3 linked regions of the Stegostoma tigrinum genome follow. The protein of the gene in region 1 interacts with the protein of each later gene in a pairwise test. Links are inferred from orthologs where the notes say so. Each region holds a gene or a part of one and is shown on either strand. Other genes may lie near its edges.

Region 1 (7,009 bases):
AATGAGGGGGGATCTGACTGAGGTATATAAAATGCCAAAAGGGATTGATAAGGTGGTCATCGAATAGATGTCCCCCCCCTTGTGGGACAGTCTCAAATAAGTAGGCATAGATGTAGTGAGAGTAGCTAAGTTCAAAACTGAGATGAAGAGAAACTACTTTTCTCAGAGAGTTGAGAGTCTGTGGAACTCACTGCCACAGAGACAGAGGTAGAATCAAATCAACTGATTCAAAAGAGAAATAGGTGTTTCTGATGAAAAGCGAGATAAAGGGCTACGGGTTACAGGCAGAGAAGTGGAGTTGAGACCAGCATAAGATTTGATATGCTCATGTCAATGCCAAGAGGGCTCAAAGGACTGAACTGCCCATTCCTACTCCCAATTCCTACGGCCCAATGTTCCTATGAGTCGCGTTGCCTCACTGAGGATTAAATCCAAAATCACCATCCGTATCATTTACTTGACATAAATGCAAAAGTAATATAAACAGGGATTTAACAAATCAAATGGACCCCACTGTGCCTAAAAGCTTGAGTATGACCAATGAAATATTTTTGGATGGAAGAATTTTGGATATATACTGCATATATTCATTTCATTTTTGTAGGGAAAGGTACAGATTAAACGTGACATGGTCAATTCTTGACAACATATATGTCATACATACAAGAATATTCATTTATCATCTGTATCTGGTCTCTATTATGATTATACACAATGTTCATGTGTACTCAAAAATCAGATCTGAACTCCAACATCACAATTCCAAACGTAACTCAAAGTCAATGCAACAAAAATCAGTAAATGTATGATGAGCTGCTAGCCTCTGAGGTAGTTACTTCTTTTTAACGATTTCAGTGTCTAGGCCTGGATTATACTTGCGAAGAAAAGTTTTGTATATTCATGTCCCATTCTTTTGCCTACAAGCTTAGCAAGATATTAAGTATTAATAAGTATTAACATAGATTGGGGTTATCTAACAACATCACTGTCAAGAATTCGAGGTACAAATGGATTATGATTAAACACATAAGTAATAAAACAGCATGTATAAATTAACAATAGATGATATTTTACAATAAAATATGAAAAATATGCCCCAAAATGCTGAGAAATGCTCCAGTATTAAATTCCAAGTTTCCAGGAACATGTTCTCACCTCTTATTTACCATGATATCCATACACCTATTCACGAAGAAAATTAATCTGTAGGTACAGTACACTCACATATGCAATTAGTACCATACTACTGCAACTACGAGTCATTTGCAGCTTTCCCGTCAAAGTGCAAGTTAGAATTGATAATTCTGGAATATTTAGTATTCTGCTCAATAGCAAACGACAAGGAACATTTGACTCAAGGAATCGGTATCACATCAACCCAAGGGCACTTCAGGCAGGTAACATAGGATAACTGATCCAAATTCAAACTGCAACTGACTCCTCATGCTCCTTCAATTCATCCTGTTGTCCATTATCAAACCTTTAACAAACGTCCAAAATTGTTAGTATCTTAAGTTTGTGTTTGATTGGACCCATCTCTTCGAGAAGCAGTATAACCAAACAAGTGAAATGCAATTTTATGACAATCTACATATAAAATATTCTAACACTTGCACAAGCATTTTAAATCAATAGTTTAAAAAGCTTGCTGACAGAAAATCATCTCATCAGATAGACAGTTGCTGTCACTGCAGAAACATCATTTCCTTCATTGAAAATAAATGTTCTTTTCCTCAATTACAGACATGCTGATTGATTCAACTTTTTTTACATACTGAAACTCTACTCTTCAGCAGCCAGTTCCCTGTTTTCCATACACTTCGAACCAACCATTATGTATCACTTTTATACCTAACTCATCCCAGAAATCCTTCCAACATAAATCACAACAAACTGCTCAAAACGGTTTCTGCCCCCAGCCAAACTCAGGACAACCCCTTCCACCAAACACTGGTCCAAAGTTTACACAGACCCTTTTGCCACATCCTCCAATCTGTCTCAGAACCCACATTCATCCAATAACCCTGCCAAATTCCTCCCCCTGCTGACTGACCTTCCAATTTCCCCACCTCCCCCCTTCCCCAACCCCCAGATCCCTCCCCAACCCCCACCTCTGTCAACCTACCCCCAAAAACCGACGTCCCCAACCCCCCACCAACCTACACCCCAAATTCCCCACCTCGCCTACCAACATACCCTTCCCCATATTCCCCACCTCCCCCTCCGACCAACCCTCCCCTAACTTCCCTGCATCCCCCACCGACCTATTCTCCTAAATATACCCCTCCCCCACTGATCAACCCCTCAAATACCCCCTCACCCACTGACCAAACCCCCAAAATGTACTCCTCCGACCTACCCCCCCAAAACGTACACCCCTCCCCCGCCGTCCTACCCCCCAAATATCTCCACCCCCCCCCACCCAACTAACCCCACACCCCACCCCCCCACAAATGTCCCTCCTTCCCCACCAAACTCTCAGAAGACCTGTGTTCTGAACCGGGACAGATTTACTTCCTACACACCCAAACTCCCCGTCTCCGCTACCAAACTACCCTCTCCCTATATTCCCACCACCCCCACCGACCTCCCCGCCACCAAAAAAAAATGATGCTGCTTGGCCTGCTGTGTTCATCCAGCTTCACACTTTTGTTATCTCAGATTTACTTCCTGCCGGGTCTCACGTCTCTCCCACGGCAGGAAATCACCCCGTTCCCCGCCAACCCCTCAACCCTGGATCTGTACGGAATGAAGGAATGAGCGGCTCCGAGTGCGAACGGATGACACCAGGGGCCAGCCGGCTGGTTGATGGGAGCCGGGCCGGGAGTAGGCCTGGGGCCCGCTCCTCACTTGGACCGGCCTCTCCGTTCACTGCTCAATCAGTACTGAAGGAATGTGTTTGTGTGTATGAGAGAGAGAGAGAGAAAAATACAAACCTGTGGCTGGGAGTTTGCGGGGTTTTTTTTTGAAGCGAGCTCAGTGCCTGTCCTTCTCTCCGTTTCCTACAAACGCCAAGTCCCTCCCCTCTCTCCTCCCGGGCCTGCCGTCTGGACGTGGCAAAGCGCAGCGAGCATGCGCACTCACACATGAAGGTTGGCATTTCCCTCCCTGCATTCAGCATTTTAACATTTTTCAGGAAGTCTGCCCATCTGAAGGATTTGAATTCCATAAAAAGATACATTTCTCCTTCTGTTAATATAGTTTACAGGAAAAAAAAAGTAGGCCATTCACCTCTTGGACTTGTTCCACCAATCTGGCTGATAATTCCAACTCAGGACCTTGTCCCTTTTTTGAAATACCTTTGATCTCTTTAGCCATAAGAACTGTATCTCACTCCATCTTGGAAAACATCCAATATTTTGGTCTGAATTGCTTTTTGTAGCGAGAATTCCACAGCCTCACTATCTCACCTCAATCCGAAAGGGTCTAACCTCTACCCTTTGACTGTGACCTCTGGTCCTGGACTCCCAGATCATCAAGAATATCCTGCTTTAATGAAGAAGGCTCACCGGACCCAAAATGTTATTTCTGATTTCTCTCCACAGACTTAATATTTTGGGCCCGGTGACCCTTGCTTTGAACTTCCTGAGTTCGGTAGAAGGGTCACTGGACCCAAAACGTTAACTCCGATTTATTCTCCACAGATGCCGCCAGACCTGCTGAGCTTGCAGAAACTTCTGTTTTTGTTCCTGATTTACAGTATCCACAGTTCTTTTGGTTTTTCTTCTCTCCACAGATGCTGCCAAATCTGCTGAGTTTTCCAGCAATTTCTGTTTTGTTTCTGATTTCCAGCATCCACAGTTCTTTTGGTTATTTTACATCCTGCACGTGCCATATCTAATCATTTAGAATTTTATACAGTTCTATGAAGTCCTCTTCTTTTAATCTTCAGTGGACATAGTCCTGACCAATCCTGTCTCTCTTCATACATTGGTTTTGCTGTCCCAGGTATTGGCCAGGTAAACTTTTGGTGCACTCCATCCATAGCCACAATGATCTTCCTCAGATACGGAGTCCAAAATTGTGCGCAGTATTCCAGGTGTGGTCTCACCACATTATAATGGCAAAATTATAATTTGTCATATTTTAAAAACCATTTTACAGGGAGTGAGTGTCATTGGCCATGCCAGCATTTATTACCATGCTTACTTAGCCTTAAGAAGGTGGAGATGAGCTGCCTTCCCAAGCCACTGCAGTCCACATGTTGTAGGTACATTAGCAGTGCTGTTCTGAATGGACAGGAATGTGTCTGTCCTCTAACAGGTTTAGTGAGTGAGAATTGTGAGTATTGTGCAAAGGGAGATTGGTTCATTTAATCAAATCTTTCCTCTTGAGGAAATTGTAAGATTCTGTCAAATGCCATCAATCAAATATCATCCAATTCTGTTTTCAGAGCAACAAACTGTCAAAATCTGCTGCCAAACACTGCAAATGTGCAGGTCATCTCTACATTCAATGTTTTCCTAAATAGACAAAGTCAGAAGTCATATGTCACCAGGTCATAGTCCAACAGGTTTATTTAAAATCACAAGCTCCAAAAGTGTTGTGTGACTTCTGCCTATGTCCACCCCAGTCCAACACGGACATCTCTACATCATTTCTGAATGGAGCTACCCTTCAGCTTCTATAAATGCTGTCTTGACCAAAACATTGCTGCTCATGTCCTATCTCACTATCCTACTTATTGATCATGCATTTGCTGTCTAGAATCAAAAAATTAGAATGTAGGCAAAGCAATAATTAGGAAGACAAATTTAATGTTGGCTTTTTAATGTGGGAATTGCAGTATAAAAGTAAGGAAGTCATATTACAACTTTACCATACATTAGTGAGACCATATCTAAAAATTATGTACAATTTCAAACTCCTGACTTAGGAAGGGATATCCATGCATCGGTAACAATTCAGAGAATATTCACTAGGCTAATTCTTAAGATATTGAGGTTTTCTTATTTGGAAAGGCTCAGCAGGTTGAGCCTGTGCTCTTTAGCATTTAGAGAAATGAGAGGTGATCTTATTGAAACATATAAATTTTTAATGCAGCTTTAAAAACGCTGAGAGAATGTTACCCTCATTGGGAATTATGGAACTTTGGGGCATAATATTATTAAGACTCCATGAAAGACTAAAATGAAGAGGAATCTTTCCTTTGAGTGCCATTATTCTTCCAAATTCTGTTCCACAGAGAGCAGTTGAGGTTGAATCATTGAATATATTCAGGACTCAGTTAGACTTTTCTTCAACAAAAGAGCCACAAGTTCTGAGTGGCAGGCAGGAAAGTGGAGTTAAAACAATAATCAGATCGATCATGTAACCTCCTTCAGCATGTTCTATATAAACATAGTCAGAAATCGCACAACTCCAGATTATAGTCCAACAGGTTTATTTGAACACACCACCTTTCAGAGCCACAGGAAGGGTCTTCTGAAGAAGGGTCTAGCATCAGCTTTCGTGCTCCTGAGACGCTGCCTGGCCTGCTGTGTTCATCCAGCTCTACACCTTGTTATGTCTTTCAGAGCCACAGTCCTTCTTCAGGCATTAGTGAGGGAGGTAGTATCAGACACAGAATTTATAAATAAAAGATCAAAGGTTCACACCATTGATGTACTAAACAAACCTAAGATGCTGTTAAATCTTCAATTAGTTAAAAAATTTTAATTGATTAATCCACATATGTAGACCCCCAAATTCCTTTCAAGTCATGGTCCTGAGAAAAGTGAAGGTTTTATCAGTGTAAACAAGAGATGACATTTTAGGTCAGACAATGCATGTTAGGTGTGAGGCCTTGTTCAGAATCTGTTTGTGTTTTAGTTTGGAGCCAGACTGGTTTTATGTCTAAAGTAGGAAGTAATAAAACACCATATTGACTGACTGGCAATAAATTGTGTGCTTTTTGAACAAAATAAGATGTATCTACAAATATAAATTCACCCCATAGATTCACGTGTGTATATGAGACGGTGGGGAACGGGTGCGTGGATTCATCAATGGTATGATACTATCTCTCCCGTTAACACCTGAGGAAGGACTGAAGCTCTGAAAGCCTGTGTTTTCAAATAAGCCTGTTGGACTATAACCTGGTGTAGTGTGACTTCTGATTTTGTCCACCCCAGTCCAACATCAGCACCTCCACATCATATATAAACATAAGTTTGAGCACTTTACAGGGAGAGGGAGATACATACTGGGCAATGGATTCTGAGAGTTGGCAAGGGAAAGTGTTTTTGGAAATGAATTCAAGACTTGGTTTAAGTCGCTAAAACAGAGGTAGGAAAGAATAAATAGGACTGTAATCTGGAATCAGAAAAATAGAGCTGATGGATAGAGATGTAGGGTTGGAGATGACTTCTCAGATAGATTTGACTGAATTGAAAACTTATTGAAAAGAGCTAATGAAGTAATGGCTTAGAGCTATGTAGAATCATACTTAGGAGAGAATTTGGGCTGAAAACTTAGTTTATTGAGATGGGAGGCTGGTACTTGTTGAAATGAGAATCATGGATGAAGGTTTCAACAACAGTACAAGTGAAATGGGAAAGAGGTCAGAAATGCTCAGGTCAGGTGGAAAAAGACTCTCTGAGATAAGAGCCTGAAATAGGACTTAAGATTATATTGAGTGCTAAGGATAATAACTGGATGATTAAAAAGAAGATGTCAAGAGGTATACAGCCTCTCAGTTTACTGGACGTGACTATGTGGACACAGGAGAATATTTGTTTGACAAAGTAATCAGGGTTTATGAGAAAGAAATTGCATTAGTCAAATTTCTGAGAATTATTTGGGGCTGCAGCAAGTAGGTGGATTTCAAAAATTATTTGAATGATATTTTTATAATTTAAAGGCTCATGAGGTTTGGGTAATGTACTTACATGGCTGGATAATTGGTTGATATGCAGGAAACAGATATTGAACTTACAATAATGTTTCATTTTCAGTTTGGCTGGCCTCTACTCATGGGTTGCCACCATTGCTACTTACAATCTATACTAATGATTTAGTTGAAGGGTCT
Region 2 (7,126 bases), on another chromosome or scaffold:
TGTTAACATTCAGCTGTGCTTCTTTCAACAGAGCCTAACATTTCAGACCAACACTGAAAGCGATGCTTTTCAAAACATATTCTACAACATGAATCGTCTACCTGGCAATTGGTTCTTGGTTTATTGCCTTAATGTTTGCAGCTTGGCTTTGAACTTGTTCATACCAGCTCTGAGCAGAGGCAAGAACAAGCTGCACTGGTCCTAACCAGTTCTTTTGAACAAAACTATCTACCTTCTAACCTTTAAAAGGTCAGACTTAGGAGTACGAAAGTATTTTATTTCCAATTATAAGTAATCCTTGAAATACAGCAATATTCCACGGATAAACAAAGGTAATAACAGAATGGTAACAGCATTGAAAGAGGCTATTCAACTCATCAAGGTTATGTTTGAACTTTGCAAGTACAGTTCGGTTCATCTGACTCCCAGCCCTTATACTCAACCATCCAAATGTTTCCTGTCCACAGCGAGCTCTCACAAGCAGCAGTAATATGCACAGCAGGTAATCTATTTGTGTGATATTGCTAGAGGAATAGGTATTGGCCAGGGCACTAAGGAAAACTACAAATTTAAAGAACTGTGGATGCTGGAAATCAGAAACCAAAACAGAAATTGACGGAAAAGCTCAACGGGAGCAGTCACATCCGTGGAGAGAAATCAGAGTTTAACGTTTCGGATCCAGTGACCATTCTTTAGAACCTACTGGCTTTTTCCAACAATTTCTGTTGTTGGCACTAAACAGAACTGCCTACATCTATTGTCCCGTTGCTTATTCAATCCCCTTCAAAAGCTCTGATTGCATTGGTCTCCATCACCTTTTCAGGGATCACAATCCAGATACAACAAACCTCGTGGAATAAAAAGGTTTACCATCCCAATTTGGCTTTGATTCTTTTGCCTTTCATTGGTTGTTAAGTCTTCTGCCAATAATGGCCATTATCTTGACACCATCATGACTGTGAACACTTCTAACAAATCTCCTCTTGATCTTCCCTTCTCAAGAGGAAGCTGGTCCAGTTTCTCCAATCTATCCCTGTAATATCCTCTTATACATCTTTTCTACAGTCTCGCCAAAAGGTTCATATTCTTCTTAAAATATGGTGCCCAGAATTGGAAGCACTATTGTTTGGTAGAGGCATAGAAATGTACAGCACAGATACAGAGCCTACGGTCCAAATCATCCATGCTGACTAGATATTCCAGATTAATCTAGTCCCATTTGCCAACAGTTGGCCCATATCCATCTAAACTCTTCTTATTCATATAACTATCTAGATGCCTTTTAAATATTGTAATGGTGCCAGCCTCCACCACTTCCACTGGCAGCTCATTCCACACATGCACCACCCTCTGCATGAAAATGTTGTCCCTTATAAATCTTTGCCCCCTCACCTGAAACCTGTGCCCTCCAGTTTTGGACTCCGCTACCCTGGGGAAAAGACTTTAGCTATTCAGCTATCCACGCCCTTCATGATTTTACAAACTCTATAAGGTCACCCTCAGCCTCTGATGCTCCAGGGAAAATAGCCCCAGCCTGTTCAGCGTCTCCCTGTGGCTCAAACCCTCCAACCCTGGAAAATGTCCTTTTGGGCAACAACTCAACTGTCCTTACCTGGGTCTGGCCTACATGTGACTCCAGGCCCATAGGAACATAGATGACTCTTAACAAGCCTTTGAAAGGACAACTAGGGACGCACAACAAATGCTGGGCTAACTGGGACTGAAGGAAATTGAGGCTAATCCAGTATTTTATAAATGATTCATCCCATTCAATGTGAGGTGAAGCTGATAATTCCATTCAATAACTTGTTTAAATGAAAGCAGTAGGGCAGAACTACACCTTAACACCCTGAAGGTGCTGGGTATGCTTACACAGGCTGTTTGAGCTGCGCAATTTGTCACATCCCCTTCAAAAGATTCATATTGTCTTATAACATGTGCTTGAAGCTCTTGTTGCAGAGTGGTAGCATTCCTGCTTCTAGCCAAAAAACATCCAGGTTCAAGTCCCATCTGCTCCAGAGGTGCGTCATGACATGTCAAAAGAGGCGAGTTTTTTTTAAAAAATCTATAACTTTGCTAAAAATTAAAACAGGAGACCAGACCCACTCCTTAATACCCAGAAGATGGTAAATGTGATCATGTTCAAGATTCCCCTCTGATATTATCTAATATTATTATTAATATTAGCTAATATTGTCATTAAAAAAGACTTGAGCATCTTGTAACAAATTGTTAGTGCTCCTATTTCTAGACCACAAGGCTTCAATTATCACTTTAAGATTCAATGGCTACAGAACTGTCAGACGTCTAAATAGGTTGATAGATTTTTTTTCTCTAAAACACGCTCATCATTTCTGTGCCAAGTAGAATGCATTCTCAAGACTGGACCAGAATATGAGGGGAAAACAATCAACAGTTTTACACAGATACACACGCTTGCGGTTTACTGTTCAGGAGAACTGCAGGACTCTCAAGTCGATCAGTCGACACTAGACGATGTAATCAATTGGCTTTCCTGAAATCAGAAATTAAGTGATAGGCATTGCTTTCAGAGAAAGTGTCGCCACACTAGATACTTAAAAAAAGGAAAGGCTTCAAACGGGCGATGGTCATCATAAAAAGAAACTGCAAGGGAACAGGAGAGCTGGCAAGTTGCCCATCTCCTTGCTCCTTGTGAGTTTCAAGCGTCTTTTAATCACTGGGATATAGATTCACGCCAGCATCGATCCCCATACCAGCACCCCAACCAAACACACCCCTGTCCCACCCCAGCACAACCATAATCCGTTTCAAACCAGGAGCTGCGATGTTTAGCGAATGTGCTTTGCCGGGGAGAGAGAGAATGAGCAGAGCAATTACATCGAGGACGAACTGATACATTGTTTCGGGAAAGAAAACAAATCAGATTTTGATCGGGATGGTATTTTCACCTACCTGCAAGGCGCTTGATCCGTACAGCAAGTTCCGCAGACTTCTTCCTCTTCTTAGCTCGTCCGCCCTGTTTTTTTCGGTATACTAAAATAGACGTAAATCTATTCAGCTGACCTTCCTACTCAATACCACCCGCCCATCACAACGTCAGAAGCTAAAGCAACAAATTAGACGGTGGAAAAAGAGGACGTGGAATTTGTTCAGTTGTAGCCTTGATATTATCTGCATTGTAAAGTTGAAGAAGGAAGTGCGGGGACTTTATTTTGAAAGACTGAGTCATCTCAGAGGGGCTATGTAATTATTTGGGGGGGAAATTCTCAGTCCATAGTGTCAGTCGTGTTCTCTTGAGCGCGCCTCTGTTAAAAAAAAATTGTAACAAGCTTCCGTACAAAAGTTGCTACATTACAGATGAAACCTCACATCTCATCCTGCTGCGGAAGAGAAATTATTCGTACAATTGCTAGAAAATAGGAGATAAGGACCTGCGCAGTCAGAGGACGTCCCAAAGCACTTAACAGTCAATGAAGCTCTTTATCAAATTGGTGTTCTAGAGTAGAAAAATTGCGGTAGCATTTCACTCAAACTATGCCCCTTTGTATAACACTGAAACAAAACAAACAAGCTGGGGACCTTAAACAAAAACAGATGCATCACAGCGTGTTTCAGCGACTGCTCTGACCAGGACGTTACAAACTCCAGTCTAATCCAGCCTTCCATCCATTGACTTCATCTATACTTCTCCCTGCCTCAGAAGGGCAGCCAACAGAAACCCCTCCCACCCACGTTATAATCTCTTTCAACCTCTTCCCTCTGGCAAAAGATACAAAAGCATAAACACATCTCCCAACAGGTTTAAGAACAGCTTCTTCCCTGTTGTTATTAGACTTCTGAATGGACCTCCCAAATTTCAAATTTGATGCTGATCTTGCTCTTTGTGCTGTAACATTATATTCCTCGATAATAAAGTGTGAAGCTGGATGAACACAGCAGACCCAGCAGCATCTCAGGAGCACAAAAGCTAACGTTTCGGGCCTAGAGCCCCTTCTCCACTTTGTGTGGTATGATCTGCCCATACTGCACACTAAACCAAACGTTTCACTGTACCTAGGTACATGTGACAATAATAATTCAAAGCCAGTCAAAATCAAATTTTAAAAATTAGAAACTGCTGGAGAAACTCAACAGGTCTGGCAGCATCTATGAACAGAGCGACAGATAACATTTCGAGTCCAGTGATCATTTTTCACTTCTGCTTCTGTTTCTCTTTCCGCAGATGCTGCCAGACTTGCTGAGTTTCTCTAATAATTACTGTTTTTACATTCCTTTGTAACAGGGGTGCTGTCTCTTTGTAAACGTGCACAACAACGTCTTACAGAAGGCAGCAATGTGATAATGAGCAGAAAGCGGTGTTGTTGATTGAGAGCTCGATATCAGCCAGGGCTACTGTTCTTGGGAATAGTGACACAGGATCTTTGATACCTCACTCGAACAAAGTGTGAAAGGGGTCTGGCCCCCATTTGAGAGGCAGCACTTTCAAGAATGCAGTATATACAAGTAACAAAAGACATATCATTTTAGTGAGATAACAAGGTGTAGAGCTGGATGAACACAGCAGGCAAAGTAGCATCAGAGGAGCAAGAAGGCTGACGTTTTGGGCCTAGAGTGCATTGGCAAAACCCAGTAACCAGCTATAAAGGATCGAAGATCTTGTAATACTATCTGAATGGCAAGAGGCTAGAAATTATGAAGGGGACGGAGGGGCTTAGGTCCCTATATGCATGACTCATTAAATGCTAGTACATTGATTCAAAATATAACAAATACAGAAAGCAGGAAGCAAATAAGTGTCCTTCCTGTCAGGTCTAGGCAATTAAATTCAATATCAGGGACCCTTTAAACCAAGCAAACATGATGAACAAATAATCAAACTAGTGTTTGTCTCAGAGGGCAAATAAACATTTCTCGCTCTTTCTCACAAAAAATCCAATGAAGTGTATCTTCATATGTCCCCCTTAACACACTAGACCTCATCAGAGGCACACTGTTGTTACAGGAGTAAACTGTACACACCACCTACAGAATAGACTGCAAATTGCCAAGCTTGCTTTGACAATATTGCCCAGCCTTGTTGTCATCACCAAGATGGAGAAAAACAGCAGCAAAATCATGGGAACATTATTATGTTTAAATGGCACAAACTATGAATTGTAAATGTGCCTCTACTTCCTCATCCCTGGATCAAAAATTACCTGCCTAACAGTATTTTAATACTGACAATATTAGGACTTCAGCAGTTCATAACAGAAATTCACTTCCATTATCTCAATTGAACTAGGGATGGAGAATAAACATGTTTCTACTAATTTGCACTTCATACATTAAAAAGCCTTTGTTCAAAGGAAGCCAACTGTTATGATCTAATCTGGGAAATGCATAAACATCTATCATCTGGAAATGATCGCTGGACAGTTGCAGCAATGAGTCAGAAGAGAGCAGAAGATAGACCCCTGGTGAGTTCTAACATGCAGGGACACTTATCCTACATAACAGAAATAGATACAAGCCACATTGACTGATCAGGCATATTTGCTTGTGTCTATCAAGAGCCAGCTTTGTCTTCTAACCCTATCAAGATCTCAAACGAGAATGCCAGATTCTCCAGTGAAGACACTATCAGATTGGGTAGAGATGAATACAATGTCAACATTAACTGTTTCAGAATTATTATTTTTATAACACCTGTCACCCTGTTATAAACCGTCACTTTTGTATCGTCCTCTCTCTCCTTTCTATGACTTTCTATTTGCTTAAATCCTGTTATATTTTCCAGCTCTGAAGAAATGTCACAAACCTAAAATATTAACTCTGTTTTTCCACCCAAGCTGCTTCCTGGACAATCGCTACATATTTATCCAATCAATGGCTGAACAGGAGTAAATTTTACAAGAAATTGAATAATATAAAAGCAACCTTGCTATTGTGTTCCTGAAAAATGTGATCTCATTGTGAATAAAATAATTTATTTTAGGAATTGCATCAAATGAGTTCTGGTTGCTTAAGAGAACTTTAAAGAATTCCTGTGTGTGGTTTGGTTACAATGAAAGTAATGTCACTTCTTTAAAGAATCTTATCTCTCCATGAAGAAGTCTTTTGTTGTTCATATTATTTGTTCTGCTGTGGGAGCAACAAGACAATATGATACACAAAGGGTGGAGATATAATGTTACTGTGATACTGTCCTAACTGTTACAATGCAAAATTGACTGCATAACTCCAGAACTGGATCTAGATTTGACTTCAGAATGGAGCGGTGTGAAACCTCTGAGGGAGAGAACCACGTTGTCACTCATTTGTGGCATCAACCTGGGTTACAAATGTATTTAAATATTGCTGTGGATCTTCTGGGTATTTTCAAACTGACCTAGACTTTGAAATATGTTGAGAGTATAGCTTTCTCCTAATCCGTATGGCTTAACAACAGAGCTCAATTTATTTTTAAGCAAGATGCTCTCTGCATAGGTTCATAATTTCAATTAGGAGCGAGACATCGCCAAGTTTCCCAGTCTGATGTCTGAAGTGTAGACACAACCAAAGAAAGATGTGTTCATGGGTCTTGTGAATGAGAGTCTTTGTATAAGGTTGACTTGTGGTACCACTGAAAGGCACATAAACTTTAACAGTTTCCAGCACTCATTCTAAAAATATTGTCTATAAATAGTTCCAAGGTTCAACAAATCCAAGTGATATACATTAAGCTCTTACAACTGCATCTAAAAATAAGTCCATTTTCTATGATTCGCACGGATCCTGATTCCTACTCTGCCTCTTCTTAATTGAAAGAACAATCATTGTTTGATTTATGGGCTGCTTCTCAAATATTATCTGACAAATAGAAATGAGGCCCTACCAAAAGTCAATAAAGAACCTCTGTTAGTTTAATCATTTACCTGTAAACTTTTCCTATCATCAGTTGTCTGTTTACATTTTTCAGAGTGCACAGTGAGTCTTTGAAATCCTCTTTTAAACTCATCTGTGCTACTTGCTTCACACCCATCCTAATTTTGATTTTTTAATTGTAACACTATACATGATATTATAGCCACATAGAAGCTTCCATTCTCCTGAATGCAATTTGCTTACGGCACTATTTAACTAACATGTTGAGTTGAGATCTCCATGTTGCCATGCACTCTCC
Region 3 (7,445 bases), on another chromosome or scaffold:
GGAATATGCTACATTTCAGGGTTACCAGGACCACGAGACGAGAGTGGGTGGTCCTTGTCTTTTTACGAATAACCCCAGCCTCTGATAACAGTCTCTTGCTTAGCATTACAAATCATGGCCATTGGTAGAATCATACAACTTTTGGCAGTGATGGCAGAAGAGCTAGAACCTTGAGGAACAACAAGTTGCTTTCACGTGAAGGAGGGTCCTATGGGAAGAGAGCTTGTTTCCTTCAAGCTCACATGAGACAGGCAATGGGAAATCAGCTCATGTATTCTTGTCCCTAGACATATTGATCACCTAAGTTGAAACTAGGCAGTTCCTATGAACAACTAAAGAGGGAAGCAAGGGAACTTCTTCTGAACAGGTCACTACAGCATGTTCCATTTTTTGATTAGTTTGGTAATACGAAAAATAACTCATATTTTGCCTTTCCAGGTTAATTTTCTAAACTTTGAACATGTTAAACTCGCCATTTAATACTGCAGTGACTGTGAGATATTTTCCACTAACAGCAATCTTCCACCATATCAAAAAGATGATGAACTGAATACCAGACAACTGAATAACAGTATGAATTTCAGTGCCGGTGTTACATAGACCATACATCCTAATCAGCAAAATGTTCCTTTGGCTATTTATAATAGGCACGGTACAGACCATATTCAACCAGCCCACACATACATGCAAAGCATAAATCAAATCATTTGCTGTTCGATCTGATTGGACAGCACTTGCAGAACAATTCTCAGTATGCCAGTAGCTGCATTAGGAACCAAGTTAAGATATTCCGTAGAGGTTATAACTTGTTTCACTTATGCTTGTGATAACAAGATGTAGAGCTGGATGAGCACAGCAAGCCAAGCAGCATCAGTGGTGCAGGAAGACTGATGTTTCGGACCTAGACCTGAATGAACATTTTCTGAAGGGTCTAAGCCCGAAACATCAGCCCTCCTGATCCTCTGATGCTGCTTGGCCTGCTGTGGTCATCCAGCTCTACATCCTGTTATCTCAGATTCTCCAGCATCTGCAGTTCCAACTATCACTTATGCTTGTGCCTGCCCCATAGTCATACAAATTACAACTGTTACAGTAGGGATAAACTTAACCATACTGGGAAAGTCATAACCTTGCAAGATGTTAGCAAATGTCCCATAAACTAAACTGTTTCCAAAAAACGTATCTGTGCTACCATGCATTGCTAGAAAGCATGCCCTGGTCCAAAGAAGCAGTACAGTCACAGCCTTTATGATCAATCGAACTGCCATCTTAAGAAACAGAAGCATGAAAAATCACGAGGGGCATGGATAGGGTGAATAGCCAAGGTCTTTTTCCTACAATGGACCAAGTCCAACTTAGTGGACACAGTTTAAGGTAGGAGGGGAAAGATTTAAAAAGGACCTGAGGGGTAACTTTTTCACACAGAGAGTGGTGCACATATAGAACAAGGTGCTGGGGAAAGTGGAGGTGGTGGGTAAAATTACAACATTTAAAGGTATCTGGTTGGTTGTATGAATAAGAAGGGTTTAGATGGATTTGGGTCAAATGCTAACAAGTGGGACCAGGTCACGAAGGGTCTGTTTTCATGCTGTATGACTCTATGCAGCTCTTTCACCCTACTCCAGCATTCAATACGATAATAGCCAAAGGTTCACACTAACAAGATGCAAACAAAACATTCACTTATGCGTAGCATTCTGATTATTCTTCTGTCAGCACATCTGTGGATTGCAACAGATTAAGCAACCTCAAACTGCCTCCCACACATAAATGCTTTGTTTTTGTTGAAAGGGATAGCCTTTCAACATTTCAAACTGTTTGAATAACACTACAAAAATAACATGTTACTCAAGAGTATACACGGCTGAAATGAAAAAAACAAATAAGTCTCTGACTTCATGTCATCATCATTGTTCCATGTGCCTGTCATCTGATCTTTTTTCTTTAATACCATCATTACTGCAAGGATAGTCTCTGTGTCTTTCCCTTCGTCTCATTCTCAGAAAATCTTCAGGTTAATTTTGCATCTTTTGATTTGATGTTGATCTAGTTGCAAGTGGCACATTACTTCAAGTCAATTTCACAATATTTCACAACCCCAAGCAGAAGTATGCAGCTAGCAGTAGCTAAATTCCCATCCAAATAAGCCTGTCTGGAGGTACAAATACCCATCATGATGGCAAGGAAAGTACCTCTTCTAGTTGTTGGAAAAGATAAACTGCCCTTTGATTGATGTAGAAGAACCAGATTGTCTTAACAATACCTTCTTCATGTTAGCTAAACTGAAAAGTTCCGCTTTGACAAAACTAGAAAGGAAAGGTTGATAGGTTCTGGCAGATTTTTTTGGGAAACAACAATCCTCAACTAACAGGATTAATACTATAAGTGTATACAAGACCATAAAACTTCCCCAAAAATGTTAGTTTCTAAATTAACAAGCTAAACAAGCTCCTAAGTATAGTTTTAATGCTATAATACTCACAGCGAGTAAGCTTTTTTAAAGCAGAAGATTTATCTAATCATTGTTCCGCATTTTACAAAATAAAACTTATTTCCGAGGACAAGAAGCCTTCAGATTCGGGAAGGAAATGAATTTGGAGAAAATCTATCCCAAGTTTGTAGATGAAGTATCAACAACAAAAAAGAATCCCAAGATTGAATTAACCCAGCCTCCTAACCTAGAGAAGGAAGTGGAAGGGGAAATTCCAGCCCCCAGGCATTTTCTGGAAGGGAGAAGACTACCTTCATCACCCACCCGGGCACCAGCACCACCTTCAAACGGGCCAGGGCCAGGGCCAGGGCCAGGGCCAGGGCCAGGGCCAGGGCCCCCTCAGTGGGACAGTTCGATCACCTCACCTCAGCTCAGCTCCGGGCCGAGGCACGCGCCTCTGCTCCCAGCCCTCAACTTTCAGCCCTAATTCCACGGAGAATGGCATCGCCTCTCCGAAACGCCCACAAGCCCGAGGCCCGAGGCCCGAGGCTCAAACTGCCCGAACCCGCAACCCGCTCCCCCACTCACCGAGCCATAAGGGTAGGTAGCCATCTCCAACTCAATAACGACCCGCCCGAGCACGCACACGCCCCGGGCCGTCTCCTTCATCCGATTGGTCCGTTGGCCGCAACGCCCCCACCAAACGCACGAAACGACGTGCCCTCTGATAGGTGGCTAAGCACGTCAGTCACAGGATGCGGAACCAGCCCCGCCCTCCATGACGTCAGGGGGCGTGGGAACATCACGTGGTTGTTCAGTGACATCACGGAAGGTAGGTCCTTCCTGTCACGTGGTCCTCCACCAGCGTTCCCGGAAGTGGGTGTTAGTGTTTGCAGCCAGATTATCTCTATGACATCGATCATCATCAATCTTTCAACCAGCGAGCTTCACCTCCCCATCGTGTCCTTAAAAAATAATCCTCAGCACCCAGTTGCCTGTCACTTTTCAATGCACCGCTGTGTTCTTATGCCAGCATTTGATGAGGAGGTGCCGGCGTGGGACTGTCAAAAATTACATGACACCAGGACATAGTCAAACAGGTTTAAAGTCAAAAGCTTTGGATGCGCCGCTTCTTCGTTCAGGTGCAGTGAGAGTGGGTAAACAGACGGAGTTTATACGCAGAGAGGTCGAAGGAGAATACAATTGGTGTGAGTGGAGTGAACAAACATAAACAGGGTAGTAAGGAAGATCTTGCAGATACAGGTGGGGTCACCTGTAGCTCGACATGAAGCCGAGATCACAGTGAGGCCATCTTCATGGGTACAGAACTTAGTTATCAGTCACTGCTCGGTGATTCTGCATTGTTGTGTACCCAGAGTTTGAATGCCCTTGACCGTTGGAAGTGTTCCCCAACTGGGAGGGAACACTCCTGGACGGCGATTGTTGCGCTTTGTTCATTCATCCATTTTTTTTAGTATCTGCATGGTCTTGCCGATATACCATGCTTTGGGGCATTCATGCCTGTAGTGTATGAGATAGACGACATTAGCCAAGTCACATACATTCATGAGGTAACAAGGTGTAGAGCTGGATGAACACAGCAGGCCAAGCAGTATCGGAGGAGCAGGAAGGCTGACGTTTCGGGCCAAGACCCTTCTCCAGAAAGGAGGGAGGGGAAGGGGGCTTTGAAATAAATAGTGGGAGGGGGAGGCAAATTGAAGATGGATAGAGGAGAAGATAGGTGGAGAGGATGGAGCCAGTAAAGGTGAGTGTAGGTGGATAGCTAGGGAGGGATATTTATCTCCCTATTTATTTCAGAAACCTCTTCCCCTCCCACATTTCTGAAGAAAGATCTAGGCCCGAAACATCAGCTTTCCTGCTCCTCTGATGCTGCTTGGCCTACTGTGTTCATCCAGCCTTGCACCTTGTTACCTCAGATTCTCCAGCATCTGCAGTTCCTACTATCTCTCACTGCTCTCGCTCGCTGTCTCTCTCACACACACACACAAATCTATGGGGTGAATCATTTCATCCAAGATGTTTATCCATTTGTCAGTTCCAGTCCATCAATGTAGCATTTTATAAATACCTGTTTTTGGAATAAAACCAGCCTGATTTCAGGTTAAAACTTGGAGACAGATTCTGCACGAGGCCTCACACTTACAACTCTGTGTCTGACCTGAGATGTCACCTTCTGAATTTCTGCCTGACTGAAGTTTGGAAAGTTAGGCAGACATTGATAAAACCTTTCATTATCTTTGGGCAGCAACTTGAAACACATTCTGAAATTTGCATCTTAATCAGTTCAAACTTGCATCTCCTTTCTAACAGAGTTCTTCATTAGCCATTTTATGTTTGTTCACTCCACTCACATCAGTTGTATGATGCTTTGATTTCTCTGTCTATAAACTCCGTGTCTGTGTGCCCTATCTCACTGCTGCTGATAAAAGAGTGGCACTCCAAAACCTTGAGATTTCGAATAAACCCATTGGACTATAACCTGGTGTCATGTGATTTTTAACTTATGCCATTACTTGTGTCTCAAGCTGGCTGCAGTGTTCCAGCAAGCTGAAAGCACCTTCCACCTAGGTTCCATACAGCCTTCAGGACTCAATATCAAATTTAAAAATTTTAGATCATGAATACCTCCTTCCGTATCTATTACCTACCCCTACACCTTGAGCCTGGTCATTGTACAGGTTGCTTCCAGCACAGCCAGCCCACTTTCAATTACTCATAGTCTCCATTATCAATTATCTAAACCTCTAATGCTCTGGCTTACTATCAACAGTGTTTTATCTGTGCCACTTGTTCTCTCCAAGCTCCATCTCCACCTATCAATTCAGTCCTTTACCACCCAAGCCCCACCATCATCAATTTAAACACTATCTTTTTCTCACCATTATCAATTCGATAAGTTCAATAAACCAGCAATGCTGTTTTCCCGTCACAGATGCTGCCCAAGCTGCTGAGTTTCTCCAACAATTCTCCAATGTTATAGGAAAGCTGATGTGGTAGCAGAATGCTGAGAGAATGGATTCCCTGTCTGAAGAGATTTGAAGACTGAGAAGGCACGAGAGTGCACTTATGGAAGTCAGTTTGTGTATGCACAATTTTGAATGAAGTTGCTTTTAGGACAGATCTGGAATTTCTTCAGTCAAAAGGGGGGTGACTCTGTGGAACCTATTGCCGCGGAGGGCTCTGGTGGCCATCATTGAATGTATTCAAGGCAGAGATATTCGGTTCTTGGTTGGTAAAGGGATCAAGTACTATGGGAAGAAGGCAGGAGAATGGGGTTAAGAAATGTATCAGTCATGACCAAACGGCAGAGAGCAACCTCAGTGGACTGAATGGCCTAATTCTCTTATACCTTGTGGTCTAAGACATGCCCAACTGCAGCGGGGGAAGACCCAAGTAGGAAATTAGGACTTAAAAACAAAGACCATTTTCCTACCTTGCCTTGATTTCTTTTCTTCTTCTTTTCTCCCCTTTTCCAGTCCTTTCACACTTACGTCTACAATTCTTCAGATGCTTTACATCAGTTTCAGAATTTCCAGTTTGCAGGCTCCAACCACCTCCTCTTTACCATGGATGTGCATTCCCTTCACACATCAGGATGGTCTCAGGGTTCTCCGCTACTTCCTGGAAAAAAGGCCTGAACCAAGGGTACCTGCATGAGTCCCAGTTATATCTGTTTCCTTCTGGGGTAAATGGAACTTTCCTTGTTTCAGTCATATGGTGCAAAGTTGGGTCGAATAATTGTAGATTGGAAGACAGGAAGTTAGAATTTGATGTTTGTAAAATGTTGGTGTCTGTAAAATGCTATGGGGAAAGCAGTACATGGTCCCTTTAAAAGATGGTGTTCTTTTTCTCTCCTTAGGCATCCTTTTTGATACTCCGTGCATTTGCAGGTGCACAGAGCACCTGAATCGAAACATGTATATTAAAAGGCTATGCAGTTAGCAGGTAGAGCAGCAGCATTTTTACCAAGACAACAGGTTTTTAAATTTAGCCAAATATTTTAAACCATGCTCTTAGATATCAAAAACTAATTAAATTTAAATCTCATGGTTTTGGCAACATAGGACCAATCCTTTTGTAAGAATTTGAAAGGTCATCAAGGGTGCAAAAGATGAGGGCATTTGGAAAATCAGGGGGAAGCCAACTGTCATCTGCCAAGAGAACAGCTCTCAGCTCTAAAAGAGAGAATCAGTGGCTCTCACACATTTCTCTAAGCCTTACAGTACGCTCCATCTAAATTAGAAGTACCTACAGTGCAAGTAATTAATGTTCCTGACACAAGAATTCATCAAAGACTCAGAACATTCTGGAAGACATAACTGGTTGTAGTTTTGAGAGACTAAATTCTGATTTTTTAAAATCTTGTTTTATGTAAGTGGAACATGTATTTATTGGAACAACATTCCTTTATAATCCTGTTTTCCAGTTAGTAGTTACAAGAGGTATTCAGTTTGTAAATAGTTTAGTCAGTTTGTTCACTGTTAAGAGTTAGATAAATAACTTGTTACTTGTTGATTATAAACAGTGTGTCAGGGGTTTATTTTTATTTAACCATTCCTTCATAGCACATTGGATCTGTTTTAACAGATTATAGGGCAAGGTGCACCTCTCCCAGTATTTTGGTTTTAGTTACCAAAGACGGTCAACCTCCACTTTAAAACAGATACGTGGGTCCCTCCCCGCGACTCTTTCTCTGGTACATCAATGACATCATTGGTGCCACAACCCTCGTCCAGAATTGGTTCACTTCCAATTTCCACCCCATTCTAGACTTCACCTGGTCTATCTCTAACTCCTCCCTTCTCTTCCTCAACATCTCTGTTTCCATTTCTGGGGATAGGCTGGCCCCCAGTATCCACCACAAACCCACTGACTCCCAGTTACATTAACAATGCATCCTCACACTCTGCTTCCTTTAAAGACTCTATTCCATTGTCCCAGTTCCTCTATCTCCATAGCATCTGTTCTGATGATGCCAACTTCGACAAGGAAG

The links.
Region 2: the proteins of tfg (region 1) and annexin A4-like interact in binary tests that used the Homo sapiens proteins (3 or more experiments, as listed by UniProt). The two-hybrid records come from large-scale screens. The link is inferred for Stegostoma tigrinum from reciprocal best matches to the Homo sapiens genes TFG and ANXA11.
Region 3: the proteins of tfg (region 1) and pef1 interact in binary tests that used the Homo sapiens proteins (3 or more experiments, as listed by UniProt). The two-hybrid records come from large-scale screens. The link is inferred for Stegostoma tigrinum from reciprocal best matches to the Homo sapiens genes TFG and PEF1.

The regions. Positions count from the first base shown.
Region 1 is NC_081365.1:29,138,232-29,145,240, reverse strand, and holds the start of tfg (protein TFG), read right to left. Parts: upstream 3,051-7,009; 5' UTR 2,937-3,050; intron 1-2,936. UniProt on the Homo sapiens protein: Plays a role in the normal dynamic function of the endoplasmic reticulum (ER) and its associated microtubules. Required for secretory cargo traffic from the endoplasmic reticulum to the Golgi apparatus.
Region 2 is NC_081390.1:18,821,639-18,828,764, reverse strand, and holds the start of annexin A4-like, read right to left. Parts: upstream 3,087-7,126; 5' UTR 2,935-3,086; intron 2,516-2,934; exon of another isoform or gene 2,448-2,515; intron 1-2,447. UniProt on the Homo sapiens protein: Binds specifically to calcyclin in a calcium-dependent manner. Required for midbody formation and completion of the terminal phase of cytokinesis.
Region 3 is NC_081377.1:33,835,509-33,842,953, reverse strand, and holds the start of pef1 (peflin), read right to left. Parts: upstream 3,107-7,445; 5' UTR 3,101-3,106; coding exon 3,020-3,100; intron 1-3,019. UniProt on the Homo sapiens protein: Calcium-binding protein that acts as an adapter that bridges unrelated proteins or stabilizes weak protein-protein complexes in response to calcium.